2 linked regions of the Macaca mulatta genome follow. The protein of the gene in region 1 interacts with the protein of each later gene in a biochemical or structural test. Links are inferred from orthologs where the notes say so. Each region holds a gene or a part of one and is shown in the gene's direction. Other genes may lie near its edges.

What was found. The genes of interacting proteins can lie anywhere in the genome.
Region 2: the proteins of FLNC (region 1) and XIRP1 form a complex in vitro, tested with the Homo sapiens proteins (2 studies listed by BioGRID and IntAct, with this or other methods). The link is inferred for Macaca mulatta from reciprocal best matches to the Homo sapiens genes FLNC and XIRP1.

What each region holds. Positions count from the first base shown.
Region 1 is NC_133408.1:168,490,089-168,496,272, forward strand, and holds the end of FLNC (filamin-C), read left to right. Parts: coding exon 1-130; intron 131-399; coding exon 400-515; intron 516-1,720; coding exon 1,721-1,853; intron 1,854-1,952; coding exon 1,953-2,129; intron 2,130-2,325; coding exon 2,326-2,544; intron 2,545-3,209; coding exon 3,210-3,419; intron 3,420-3,538; coding exon 3,539-3,726; 3' UTR 3,727-4,479; downstream 4,480-6,184.
Region 2 is NC_133407.1:101,490,942-101,498,249, reverse strand, and holds the start of XIRP1 (xin actin-binding repeat-containing protein 1), read left to right. Parts: upstream 1-2,408; 5' UTR 2,409-2,784; intron 2,785-5,644; exon of another isoform or gene 5,645-5,720; 5' UTR 5,721-5,724; coding exon 5,725-7,308. UniProt on the Homo sapiens protein: Protects actin filaments from depolymerization. Required for correct cardiac intercalated disk ultrastructure via maintenance of cell-cell adhesion stability, and as a result maintains cardiac organ morphology, conductance and heart beat rhythm.

The sequences.
Region 1 (6,184 bases):
AGCATCTGGACCCGGGAGGCCGGTGCTGGGGGCCTGTCCATTGCTGTGGAGGGTCCTAGCAAGGCGGAGATTGCATTTGAGGATCGCAAAGATGGCTCCTGCGGCGTCTCCTATGTTGTCCAGGAACCAGGTGGGCGTCCACACTGGCAGTGGGGCTGGGCCTGCCTGACCTTCCAGACTGGGTTTCTGCTCACTGGAGAGGCAGGAGATGCTTGGGGCCACAGAACTCCCCTCCCCGGGGCCCCCATCTCCCTCTACCCCACACCCTCGGAAACATGTGTCTGTCTCCAGGTCTGAGTGCTGACCACGGAGTCTATCCTGGGATAAAGCCAGAGTGGGGAGGCTCCCACCCTGCCAACCTCCATCCCGGAACCTATGCTGACTGGTCTCTCTCCCCAGGTGACTATGAGGTCTCCATCAAGTTCAATGATGAGCACATCCCGGACAGTCCCTTTGTGGTGCCTGTGGCCTCCCTCTCGGATGACGCTCGCCGTCTCACCGTCACCAGCCTCCAGGTTTGTGCCCAGGGTGGGGGTGGAGGGTTTCTGCTATCTGAGAGATGGGTAAGAGTTGAGGACAGCAGGTCCATGGGGCCAGGGATTTAGCAGTGACCTTGGAAGGGCCAGTTAGAAGTCCCTTCCCGTAAGGCACAAGGCAGGGCCCTTGGGGACGGTGGGCTCCGACCCTGTGGGCTAGCCCCTACACTCAGGCATGCCACGCCTCATTCTGCTTTTCTCAGGGTGGGTTTGCCTGTCCTACTGCCACCTGCCATTTCTTGTTAGTTTGTTCCACCTTCTCCTGTTCTAAGAATGCTAGATGCCAACATTTATAAGAATGAGAGTATAAAATCTATACAAACTAAGAGTAAACCAGTTTGCAGAGAGGGTGTGAGAGGCTCCTCTAAAGGGAATGCCTATGGCCTGCAGAGCCTGGGCTGCGTCCTCTCCAGGCCGATGGGAGCCTGGCTTGCTTTCTCTTGCTGCTGACTTCTAGAGATGTGGTGTCTTCCTTTCCTTCTGTCATAGCGGACATGTGCAAGGAAGGCTCTCAGCAAGTCACACTGAAACAGGCAAACCAGGGGGCCAGGTGTCCAGGGGACACACTGTAAAGGAGCTTGTGCATAAGGGGCATAGAATAGGCCTCACCCCAGCTCCTTATCCCGCGCGCCTCCTGGCTGCCCCTCAGGGTGGTCACGTTAGCCCATCCAGGGTCCTTGTGCATCTCCTCCTTCCACTCCTGAACCGGGTTCCCCAATGCAGGCTCCAATCCCTCCCCCAGAGCCCTTCTGTGCTTCTTCTGGGTCCTCCCTGTTGGTCCACCTCCTCCAGGAAGCTTTCCCAGGCCAGTCCAGCCAAACTCAGCTTCCTACCTCAGAGCTCTCTGGCACCACCAGCCCACACAGCCCATCAGGCACTTGCTCTCTGCTCTCGGCCTGCTTCACACAGAGTGGGGCCCTTCCTTCCTCAGCCAGGACAGGGTACATCATCTCTCATCGCCCACACACCAAGCACAGCTAGGATAGCAGGTGCACGTATAGGGTTGCATACCAGACCCTGGCTCCTCCTGCTCCCAGGCTGGTCTGGCAGGCAGGGGCCAGGCTGGGCGTAGGGTGGTGGCAGCCTTTGTGCTGGGCTTACGGTGAGCACCATGTGGGGCTTCAGAGAAGAGTGCTCCAGCCCTGGTCTCCCAGCAGTCTGAGCATCCTCCTTGGCCTTTGCAGGAGACAGGGCTCAAGGTGAACCAGCCGGCGTCCTTTGCTGTGCAGCTGAACGGCGCACGGGGCGTGATTGATGCCCGGGTGCACACACCCTCGGGGGCTGTGGAGGAGTGCTACGTCTCTGAGCTAGACAGTGGTGAGCTGGCCCTGCCCCTGCCAACCCCCTGCTGGGCTGGGGCCTTCTAAGAAGGGGAGGGGAAGGATGGAGGGTAAGCCACCAACCCTCTATCCACAGACAAGCATACCATCCGCTTCATCCCCCACGAGAATGGCGTCCACTCCATTGATGTCAAGTTCAATGGTGCCCACATCCCTGGAAGTCCCTTCAAGATCCGCGTTGGGGAGCAGAGCCAGGCTGGGGACCCAGGCTTGGTGTCAGCCTATGGTCCTGGGCTCGAGGGAGGCACTACTGGTGAGTGCCTGGAGCTGGGGAACAGGGTGACTTCTAGGGGTACTTGGCCACTAGTCTGGTGCTGCCTTGCTCCAGAGGCAGGAGCCCTGCTTCCTGAGCCAGGAGTCCCCACAGAGGCTGCCCAGGGAACTGGAGCCTAGCCCCTCTTGGGCCACAAGCCCTTCCTGCCCTCAGCCTTGCTACCTCTGGCCTCTAGGTGTGTCATCAGAGTTCATCGTGAACACCCTGAACGCCGGCTCGGGGGCCTTGTCTGTCACCATTGATGGCCCCTCCAAGGTGCAGCTGGACTGTCGGGAGTGTCCTGAGGGCCACGTGGTCACTTACACTCCCATGGCCCCTGGCAACTACCTCATTGCCATCAAGTACGGTGGCCCCCAGCACATCGTGGGCAGCCCTTTCAAGGCCAAGGTCACTGGTGAGTGCTGGCTTCAGGGAGGTCCATCCAACCTGCAGCCCAGCCCAGCCTGGAGGGCTCCGGTGGCCACGCACATCCAGACCATAGTCTGACCCCAGACACCATGGTCAGTTTACCAGGGCTAGAGGTGGGCCTGGCTCTACACAGCACACATTCTGTGGAGTCAGGCATGATGGTGTAAAAGTCCCATTCTTCCTCTCCATCGCGGCCCCTCACTCCTTCAGCTCTGGCCTGCGCTGGCTCCTCAGGCTCTAGCATCACTTTCTCCCCTCCTGGCTTCCCATATTCCTCGGCTCCAAGAAGACACAGTCAGTATTGAGCAAGCTCCCCTCTTGAGGCTGTCTGTAGGATGCGTTGGGTGGGTGTTCCTTTGTAAAGTGACTCTAACCCTGTGAGTTAGCCTGAGTTCCCAAAGCCTGCAAGGGTGAAGGTCACAGCATCTGAGGCCCCAGCCCTGGGGTGGAGCACCAGTTGGAGCTGGCAGCTCAGGGCCCTGGCTGGGAATGAGGCTGTGCTCCTAGAGTGGCCCTTGGAGGAATTTGAGGGGAGCCACGAATGCAGGCAGTGAGTCCCACAGGGTGGCAATGCTGGCCGAGGGTCCCCTGCCTGGGGAAGAACAGGAAGCCCTCCTGACCAGGTTTGTGCCCCCTCCACCCGCCCCTCAGGTCCGAGGCTGTCCGGAGGCCACAGCCTTCACGAAACATCCACCGTTCTGGTGGAGACTGTGACCAAGTCTTCCTCAAGCCGGGGCTCCAGCTACAGCTCCATCCCCAAGTTCTCCTCAGATGCCAGCAAGGTGGTGACTCGGGGCCCTGGGCTGTCCCAGGCCTTCGTAGGCCAGAAGAACTCCTTCACCGTGGACTGCAGCAAAGCAGGCAGGTGGCGGGGGGGAGGGTGTCTCCCAGGGTGTGAGCAAGAGGCCGTCAGGGAGCAGGGTGTGGGTCACAGTAGGGGACTCCCTGGTGTGAGCCTGTCCCTCTGCCTCCCTCTCCAGGCACCAACATGATGATGGTGGGCGTGCACGGCCCCAAGACCCCCTGTGAGGAGGTGTACGTGAAGCACATGGGGAACCGGGTGTACAATGTCACCTACACCGTCAAGGAGAAAGGGGACTACATCCTCATCGTCAAGTGGGGCGACGAAAGTGTCCCTGGAAGCCCCTTCAAAGTCAAGGTCCCTTGAATGCCAAAAGTGCCTCCCCAGCCTCAGCCCCCACCTCCAGCCAAACACATATTACACACACACACACACACACACACGTGCCACACCCAGACACGCACAGAATCAGACACTACAAACACCTGCCTTGGGGGTGAAGTGAAGGCACAGCCTCCTCACCCCACTGCGCCCCGGGGGTTGGAGGACCTTGTCTGTGTTAGGACAGTGTCCCTCCCCGGGAACGTGATATGCTAACTCACAGACTGGGGCCAGGCTCAGGGGCAGAGGCTGGGACATGAGGGGCTGACAAGTGGGCTTCGAGGCCAGGGAAGCCCTGAGTTTTCTGGCAGGGCTGAGCAGTGGGAGGGCATTGTGTTGTGGGTGTCTGTGTGTGAGGTCACCCTCAATCTGCACCGCCGGCCAGCCACCCCCCTGTCCCTGAGGACTTGGTCTGGTCCCTCTGGTAGCTTCAACCCCAGACTTTTAAGGACTTGGAAAGGAAAGCACAATCAGAGAAGAAAACAGCCCCTGAATCAGCAGGAGTGGCCTGGCACATGGACCGGCCAGAGCGATGTGCATTCTGCCCAAGCCAGCCTCCCAGGGGGCCGGACTTCTCTCTCACTGTCTCTTTTTTTAAAATGGTTGCACGGCTCTGCCCCATGGGGGGCCTTTTTTACACACTGCGAGGCCCAGCTTTCTAGGGGACTTTGCACATGTCATGCAGCTCAGCTGGGAGCTGCTTAGGTGGAAAACTCCAAATAAAGTGCGGCTGTCGCAGAGGCTTGGCTGTTCCTTGCGGGTGTGCTCTCTGTGGCTGGCTGCCCTCTGGCCTGCCACACGAGAAACTGGGCCCTGGGTAGGCAGAGGCAGCCTGGCTGTCCCCTGGAAGATTGACCCAGGTCGAGGGGAAGGTCCTGGGGCAGAAGTGAGGTCTGGGATGTTGGCAGAGTGCCTGAAAGAACTGGGGGCGGGGGCTCGGGGATGTGGGAAGGGGTCCCAGCGGGAGGGTTCGTGGACAGTACAGGGTGTGGATACTGTGTTCTACAGTACTGCCCCAGGACCCCTGGGAGGCCAATTTCAGTTCAGCCTGACCTCAAGGATGTTTTTCAAATTAAGACTTTAAAACAGTGAGCACTGACTCAAACAGGAATATTCCTCAACCAGCAGGCAGACAGAACCACCTGCAGACTCAGCACCTTCCTCCGAGTCTGGTACTGAATCAACTTGGCCTGTTTCATGCCCGTTTCCAGCACTGAGCTTGCACAGGGCTTCCCTCCTGAACTCCTGCCCCAGCCCTGCCCTGGTCAGCTCCCTCCAACCTCCTCTCCATGCTGCAGCTTGAGGGGGGTCACTTTAAAGAGAGTATACCCCTCTCTGGTTTAGGGCCCTCCGTGACTCCCTCCTGCTCCAGAGTAAAGTTTCTTCCTCACAAGGTCTCCAAGGCCCCCCAGGTTCAGACAGCAGCCTCCGCAGCCGTATGAGTTGGGCAGCAAGCCCACTCCCCATTGTACCCTCCACCTCCAACCTCCCTTCACCACTAGTTAACTGGGCACCCATGCTGAATTTGGGCCCCTTCCCGGAAACACCCTTGCCTCCCCACCCTCTTCATCTTCCTGGCCAACAGGAAGTTTCCTGGACCCCTCCCTACCCCTCCTGGATCAGTGCCCCCAGCTCCCAAACTGCCCTGGGACACATCTCTAGCTGCAGTTACCACCCTGAGCTGTGGCCATGTATCCACGGCCCCCCACCAGATGGAGCTCCCTGGCCCTGGGTGTGAATGAGTGAGTGAATGGGTATGAGTGAATAAATGAGCAGCTGAGTAGCTGGAGCAGGGAAAACGCCTTTCATTCACCTGATCCCACAATCTAGACCCACCTGGGCATTTCAGCACACGGTGGTGGGCCTGGCAGAAAAACCCACGAGGCCCCAACTCCTAATCCCTGACCTCCCCACCTCTCTCACCTCTCACCAGCCTCTGTGCTTCCTCCCTCTTCCCACACACCCCTCCTCACTCTCTGCCCCCCTCACTCTCACCCCTAGATGTGCTAATTTCCCCCTCAGCTTCAGCTGCCTCCACCTGTGTGTGGCTGATAAGCTCACAGACCTCCAGCCTGCCCACTTCCAGCCAGCCAGTGTGGCCCTGGGTGCTAAGCCTTAAAGGCCCTCCCTCATTAATCCTCATAACAGCCCTATGAGGTGGGGCTACTACCATCTGAAGAAACCAAGGCCCTGGGAATTTCAGTGATGAGTCTGAAACCATACCTCTAAGTAGTGGGGTACAGATTGAAACCCAGGCGTGCCCAAATCCCAAGCTTATCACACATACAATTGCCAGACCAGACCACTTGCACTCCAAACTCACAAGCACTCCAAACTCACAAACCCCATGCCAGACACCAGGAGTGCTGGTTTATTAAAAGGGAGGAGGAAAGAGCGGCCCCTTCCCCTTCAGCCTGCTCATCTCACAGAGGTCACTTTCCCG
Region 2 (7,308 bases), on another chromosome or scaffold:
TTATTTATTTTAACATCTATAACAGCACTATCTGGTAGAACTTTCTGCAATAATGGAAACATTCTGCACTATTCAATATAATAGTTTCAGGTCAGGCACGGTGGCTCATGTCTGTAATCCCAGCACTTTGGGAGGCCGAGGCAGGCGGAACAGCTGAGGTCAGGAGTCTGAGATCAGTGTGGGCAACATGATGAAACCCCATCTCTACTAAAAATACAAAAATTAGCTGGGCACAGTGGCACACACCTGTAATCCCAGCTACTGGGGTGGCTAAGGCAGGAGAATCACTTGAACCCGGGAGGCAGAAGGTGCAGTGAGCCAAGATCGCGCCACTGCACTCCAGCCTGGGCAACAGAGCGAAACTCCGTCTCAAAAACAAACAAACAAACAAACAAACAAACAAAATCAATATAATAGTTGCTAGCCACTTGTCTCTATGGAGCACTTCAAATATGGCTAGTGTAGTGAAATAACTGAGTTTTTATTTTATTTCATTTTAATGTACTTAAATTTAAATAGCCTCATTTGGCTAGTGGCGACTGTATTGGACAGCACAGCTGTACTAGATACAAAGAAACCAAGTGCTCAAGAAGAGCCTCTTTCCTAATACTGAGGCCTGAGGAATTTCTCCCATGGTTATCACAGGAGGTGAATACAAAAGTTAGTTCCACCTAGGAGCTTTTCTTTTTTGTGTTATATACAGTATAATAGCTGGCTCTTCTAAAGCATAGGCTATGTGCTAAGTGCTCTCAAGCACTTTTTTTTTTTTTTTTTTTTTTTTTTTTTTGAGACAGAGTCTCACTCTATCACCCAAGCTGGAGTACAGGGTTGCGATCCCAGCTCACTGCATCTTCTGCCTCCCAGGTTCAATTTTCCTGCCTCAGCCTCCCAAGTAGTTGGGATTACAGGCGTGTGCCACCATGCCCAGCTAATTTTGTATATTTTTAGTAGAGACAGGGTTTCACCATGTTGGTCAGGCTGGTCTCGAACTCCTGACCTCAAGTGATCCACCAGCCTCAGCCTGCCAAAGTGTGCTGAGATTACAGGTGTGAGCCACCGTGCCTGGCTGGAGGCACTCTTTTCATATAATAATTCCTTCAATTCTCAAAACTAACCTAGAAAGTAGGAACTTTCAGCATCCACAGGGAGAAAGCTCCTCCTGGGAGAAATTCGGAGAGACCTAAGGCTGCCCCTTCCCTGAAACACTGGTACATTGGTCTCCCTGCCCTTCCTGGAGAGAGCCAGGAGCCTGCGGGACAGGTAGAGGGCTAGAAAAGAGCAGGGGAAGAGACAAGAGGGAGGGAGACCAGGAAGAGGGGTTCCCAGATGTCCTCGCCCCCGTTCCAGCTGCCACTGCAGGACTGACGTTGACTACATGGAAAAAGTGAGCAATGTCTGGCATCATCCCCTGGTACCAGAGGGCATTTGGGGAGTCAGAAGGAAGACCTCATGTGCCAGGCCACAGAATGCACCTGCATACCCACAGGCATGGAGCCTGGGCCAGGCCCACCTAGGATGAAACACCTCTTTCAAGTTTTCTGTGGATGGTCCCCTGATATCCTTCACCACACTGGTCTGACTGCCAGGATCTCTTGGGCCTGCTGGGCCCCTCAGACCCTGGTAAGCAAAGGAGGAGGCAGGTGTGACCCCCCTCCCTGCTGCCACTCCATCTGTGACTGGGAAGCTGATGACTCCAGGGTCAGAAATAACCCCACGGTCAGCTCCCTGCATGCCGCCCTTCCCCTCCCCTCCGTTCCCAGAAAGCCTGGGCCCTGAGTCAGAGGGAAGAGTCGAGAAGAGAGAAAGGACTCAGTTAATCTGGGATGAAAACCACGGAGTCCTGCTGTGGAATTCATTCATTGGGAGGCCGAGGCAGGCAGATCACCTGAGGTCGGCAGTTCAAGACCAGCCTGGCCAACATGGTAAAACCCCATCTCTACTAAAAATACAAAAATTAACCGGGTATGGTGGCGCAAAGGAGGAGCTGGACCTGGCCAATCTCGGCCCAGTGAAGAGCTGTGCCTTGTCATTCAGATGTCTTCCCCCAAAATCCAGCTTTATCAGGGCCGTGTTGACCTGTGCTGTGGGGCACGGGGAAGAATGGATAAGAAAGAAGGAATTCTTTAGTGCAGAAGGGAATGGGGAAGAAAAAGAGCTGAGCTTCACACTCAGAGGTATTCAGGCTCAGAACAGAGGAGGAGAGGCCCAGCCTGCCCTCAGGAGACCTCCAGTCTCCTGGCACAGTGGGTGGAGACACGTCAGGAAGAGTCAGAGGCAGGACCAGAGTAGAGTGATGGAGGCTCACAAGACGGGGGCAAGCTGTCCAAGGTGTCAGATGCCCCTTCTTATTCACTCTCTCAAAATAGTCTGGGACACCCCCAACCCCACAACCCAGCTGAGTCACTGACCCCAATCCCCAGATCAGACTCTGGATGAATGAAGCTTCTCCCCCTCTGTTTCCCCTCCCCAGCCCGAAGGACATGTAATTGATTCCCCAGGATGGAAGAGTGACTTCCACAAGACCTAAAAATAACCAAACCACTTAATACTCTGAACATAGCCTCTCCCGCCCGCCCCCACCACGGCCCACCCACTAGCCAGCAAGATAAAGGCAGCTGCTGGGGCTGGCAGGGGACAGAGACCCGGAGCCAGGGCAGCAAGAAGGTGTCTGTTGGAGCCAGCAGAACAGAACCAATTTGAACAAGAACCTCGAGAGGAACGACGAACCCTGAGACCACAGCTGCTACAGACCCCAAACACCCCATCAGCCAAGAGAGACCCTCGGTGAGTAACCTACCTCTCTGTCCTTCCACGGCAGGGCTGGCGTTCACAGCTGGGATCCCCTGCCCTCCTGGAATGGACGTATTAGGGGTGGCTCTGAGTGGGGGAAGGAGATTGAGGGGCATGCATGGGAGGAGGTGAGTGGAAGTCTCAGATATAAAGAACCCACAAAGGAGGTAAAGACAGTGTGAGCCCCATGGGAGCTCTCAGAGTGGCTGCCACAGGCCTGAAGCTAGCAGAAAGGACAGGGTCCTGCCAGGCTGGCATGATCCAGTAAGGCCTGGAGTTGTGATTTTTAAAATACAGGTATGGAATGCCTCAGGCTTCGGGGCTTCCTCCCAGGGAAGCCTCAGGCAGGCCCAGGGTCTGGAGGAAGGAGGAACAGAAGAGAGGCGGGAGCAGGGGCCGTAGGTAGGCCTGAGTGTGCATTGCTAGAACAAGCCCCATGCCTAGTTGCTGTGGATGACACTCTCGGCATATCTGGCCCAGGCATAGCTCCCAGGGGCTGGCCGGAGCCCAGCTCCCTACGTATCATAGCCTAAAACCTGGGGTGGAATTTGGACTCTGCCCATGGTCTTGCCCAGTGGGAAAGCCCCCAGGGCAGATCTGGGGCGCTCAGGGGAGGGAGACCGGATCTGAATTTGCCCAGATGTAAAGACATATGGAGCCAGCTGGGCCGAGGAGGAGGTAACCTGAGGACAGCAGTGGGACCATCCTGAGAGGTTGGCCCAGCCCTAGGAGACCAAGGTTTAGGACAGTTCTTGGGGTCACCCCACCTAAGTCTGGTCCCAGTTATGAATTCTGTCCTGACTCTACACTTGCCCCAGGAGTCTCAAGCCAGGCAAGGATGGTGGTGAGAAGGCCAGGAGTCAGGAGGCATGCTTCAGGCTTTGCTACTGCCTTGCTGAGCCTCCTTGGACAGCTCCTTTCCCCTCTTTGGCCCTCTGTTTCCCTATTTGAACAATAAGGGGTTTAGATTGAGTGATCTCTGAGGGTCCTTAGGCCTGACATCCCTGGACTCCATGATAATAACTGCCTGTGGCCTTAGCAGAGATTCTGGAAATTCCTGGGGGTGGGGGTGGGGTGAAGCTGATGGTCTGCCCATGCCATCTGCTCAGGTCACCCTGCTGGTGACAGGATGGAGTGGAGGTGGAGACAGGCACAGGTTTGCCTTGGGCAGGGGATCCTCGTTGGAGCTCAGAAATGAAAGAAAACCACGCAGAGCTTTGATGAGACTCAGGTTACAGGTTTCAGAGCTCACACTCCCCAAAGGTTCTGATGTCTTTGGTGGACATGCCAGGGTGGGCATGGGGTCAGGAGGTCTCAATTTCCTCTCTCCTCCTTCTGAGGTAGCCATAGGGAGGAAGTCCTGCCCCACTTGCTGCCAGTACTTCCCTCCACCGCAGACTCCTTTGGCCAGGGAAGGTGTCCAGGTTCTAGCACCTGGTTGGACTGCAGCCCAGGGGCCTGACACCAGCCCAGGAGGCAGGATAGGGGAGCCCAGGGTAACGAAGGAGACGAGGTGAGCCAAGGGCACTGAGGATCCCCACTGGCTGGGCCTCAGCCTCCCTCTGAGCCCCGGGCTGCTGTTCTGAGGCCAGAACATCAGCTATATTTAGCACCCTGTGTGGTGCAGAGCAGTGGGTCAGGGGCAGCGGGAGGGGGCACATGCTTCCCATTCTTTCCCTACTGGCCTCTGGGGACTGTTAGTACACCTGTCACAAGACAGATAAGACATACATGGACAGAGACCAGAGAAGCGCTTGAGGGGTGGGAGGCCATTGAGGGGTGGGGGTGGAGCCAGGGAGGGGTAGGGCTTAGCCTGAAGCCCCCCTGAGTCCGAGCCCCTGAAGCTGTGCTTGCTTGCTTAGAGAGCGGTCTCCAGGGGCAAGGGGCAGAGCTGTCTCTGCAGAAAGGACCCTGGTCCCATGGTCCTCTCCCTGGTAGGTGTCGCCCTCATATCCTCCGAGGGGTGCCTGCTGGGGAATAGACTGGTCCTATGGCCAATAAGAAAGCTTTACACCTCCTACCCTCTTATGTCTTGGGCCCATGCCCTAAATAGAGTCTAGGGACCCCAAGCCAGCACTGCCTTCCATTTATTCACCAAGATCTGACTCTGGACCTAAGTTCCCTCGTCTTTATTTATAAATGGTTGTGCTAAAAGACCTTTGAGATCCCCCTAGCTCAGACATTCTCAGTCTTGGAGTATAGTGCAGAAAACCCTGACCAGAGATTCAGAATTTGGATCTGGCCTAACCACGAGATATCTGATGAGCAGCTTCCCAGCCCTGATCCTCAACTGCTTCTGCCCTAGCATGGGCTGTTGGCCTCCGCTTGCCTCCTTGGGCCTGGGAAAGGTTGGAGTGCGTTGACAGCCAAGAGAGAAAAGTTAGGCAGCACTCCAGGTCAACATGGCAAGTCTGCCCTCTGGTGTTCTGCAAAGGAATCTCGTCTCCATGGGAAATCAGTCACCAGGTTAGAGACCTGTCCCTCCAAGGCTGGGACTCCAAAAGTCAGGATTCCCCCAGGCCACTCTCCTGGGAGTCTTCTAGGGCAACACTGATTTTTAACAAAGGAAGGCGAGGATGGGGCCTGTCCAGTTAGGCATCCCTTATGGAGCTAAAGGAAAGAGTGTCATGTCCAGTTGTCCCATGGTTGCTCCCTAGCAACCCAGGAGATGTAGGGAAAGCAGGAACCCACTGTGATTAATGGGTCCATATGTCCTAAGTTCAAGACCTGTTGCCCACAACAGGCAGCAAAGTGAAACCCAGGCCAGGCACATAAAGAGAGGCAAGGAGTCTCTAAGTGTAAGTCACCGAGAGCTACTCTGACCCTGAGCCCTGTTTACTGCCATTTCTCCCAGCATCCAGCCTCTACCCTGCTGAACATCTAGATCTAAGGCCCCCCATCCCATCCTCATCTCTGCCCCTTCTTCTCAGAAGGATGGCCGACGCCCAGACACAGGTGGCCCCCACACCAACCATGAGGATGGCAACTGCAGAGGACCTGCCCCTCCCTCCACCCCCAGCCCTGGATGACCTGCCACTGCCACCACCCAAGGAGTCCTTCTCCAAGTTCCACCAGCAGCGGCAAGCTAGTGAACTCCGCCGCCTCTACAGGCACATCCACCCTGAGCTCCGCAAGAATCTGGCCGAGGCTGTGGCCGAGGATCTGGCCGAGGTCCTGGGCTCTGAGGAACCCACTGAGGGTGACGTTCAGTGCATGCGATGGATCTTTGAGAACTGGCGACTGGATGCCATTGGAGATCACGAGAGGCCAGCTGCCAAGGAGCCTGTGCCGGGTGGTGACGTCCAGGCCACCTCCCGCAAGTTTGAGGAAGGCTCTTTTGCCAACAGCACAGACCAGGAGCCAACCAGGCCCCAGCCAAGTGGAGGGGACGTTCGTGCAGCCCGCTGGCTATTTGAGACAAAGCCACTGGATGAGCTGACAGGGCAGGCCAAGGAACTGGAGGCCACTGTGAGGGAACCTGCAGCCAGCGGAGATGTGCAGGGTACCAGGATGCTCTTTGAGACACGGCCGCTGGACCGCCTGGGCTCCCGCCCCTCCCTGCAGGAGCAGAGCCCCTTGGAACTGCGCTCAGAGATCCAGGAGCTGAAGGGTGATGTGAAAAAGACAGTGAAGCTTTTCCAAACGGAGCCCCTGTGTGCCATCCAGGATGCAGAGGGTGCCATCCATGAGGTCAAGGCCGCATGCCGGGAGGAGATCCAAAGCAACGCGGTGAGGTCTGCCCGCTGGCTCTTTGAGACCCGGCCTCTGGACGCCATCAACCAGGACCCCAGCCAGGTGCGGGTGATCCGGGGGATTTCCCTGGAGGAGGGGTCCCGGCCCGATGTCAGTGCAACTCGCTGGATCTTTGAGACACAGCCCCTGGATGCCATCCGGGAGATCTTAGTAGATGAAAAGGACTTCCAGCCATCCCCAGACCTTATCCCACCTGGTCCAGATGTTCAGCAGCAGCGGCATCTGTTTGAGACCCGAGCGCTGGACACTCTGAAGGGGGATGAGGAGGCTGGAGCAGAGGCCCCACCCAAAGAGGAAGTGGTCCCTGGTGATGTCCGCTCCACCCTGTGGCTATTTGAAACAAAGCCCCTGGATGCTTTCAGAGACAAGGTCCAAGTGGGTCACCTACAGCGAGTGGATCCCCAGGACGGTGAGGGGCATCTATCCAGTGACAACTCCTCAGCACTGCCCTTCTCTCAGACTGCCCCCCAGAGGGATGGGCTAAAGGGGGACGTGAAGACTTTTAAGAACCTTTTTGAGACCCTTCCCTTGGACAGCATTGGACAGGGTGAGGTTCTGGCCCATGGGAGTCCAAGCAGAGAAGAAGGAACTGATTCTGCTGGGCAGGCCCAGGGCATAGGGTCCCCAGTGTATGCCATGCAGGACAGCAAGGGCCGCCTCCATGCCCTGACCTCTGTTAGCAGAGAGCAGATAGTCGGAGGTGATGTCCAAGGCTACAGGTGGATGTTTGAGACACAGCCCCTAGCCCAGCTCGGCCGAAGCCCC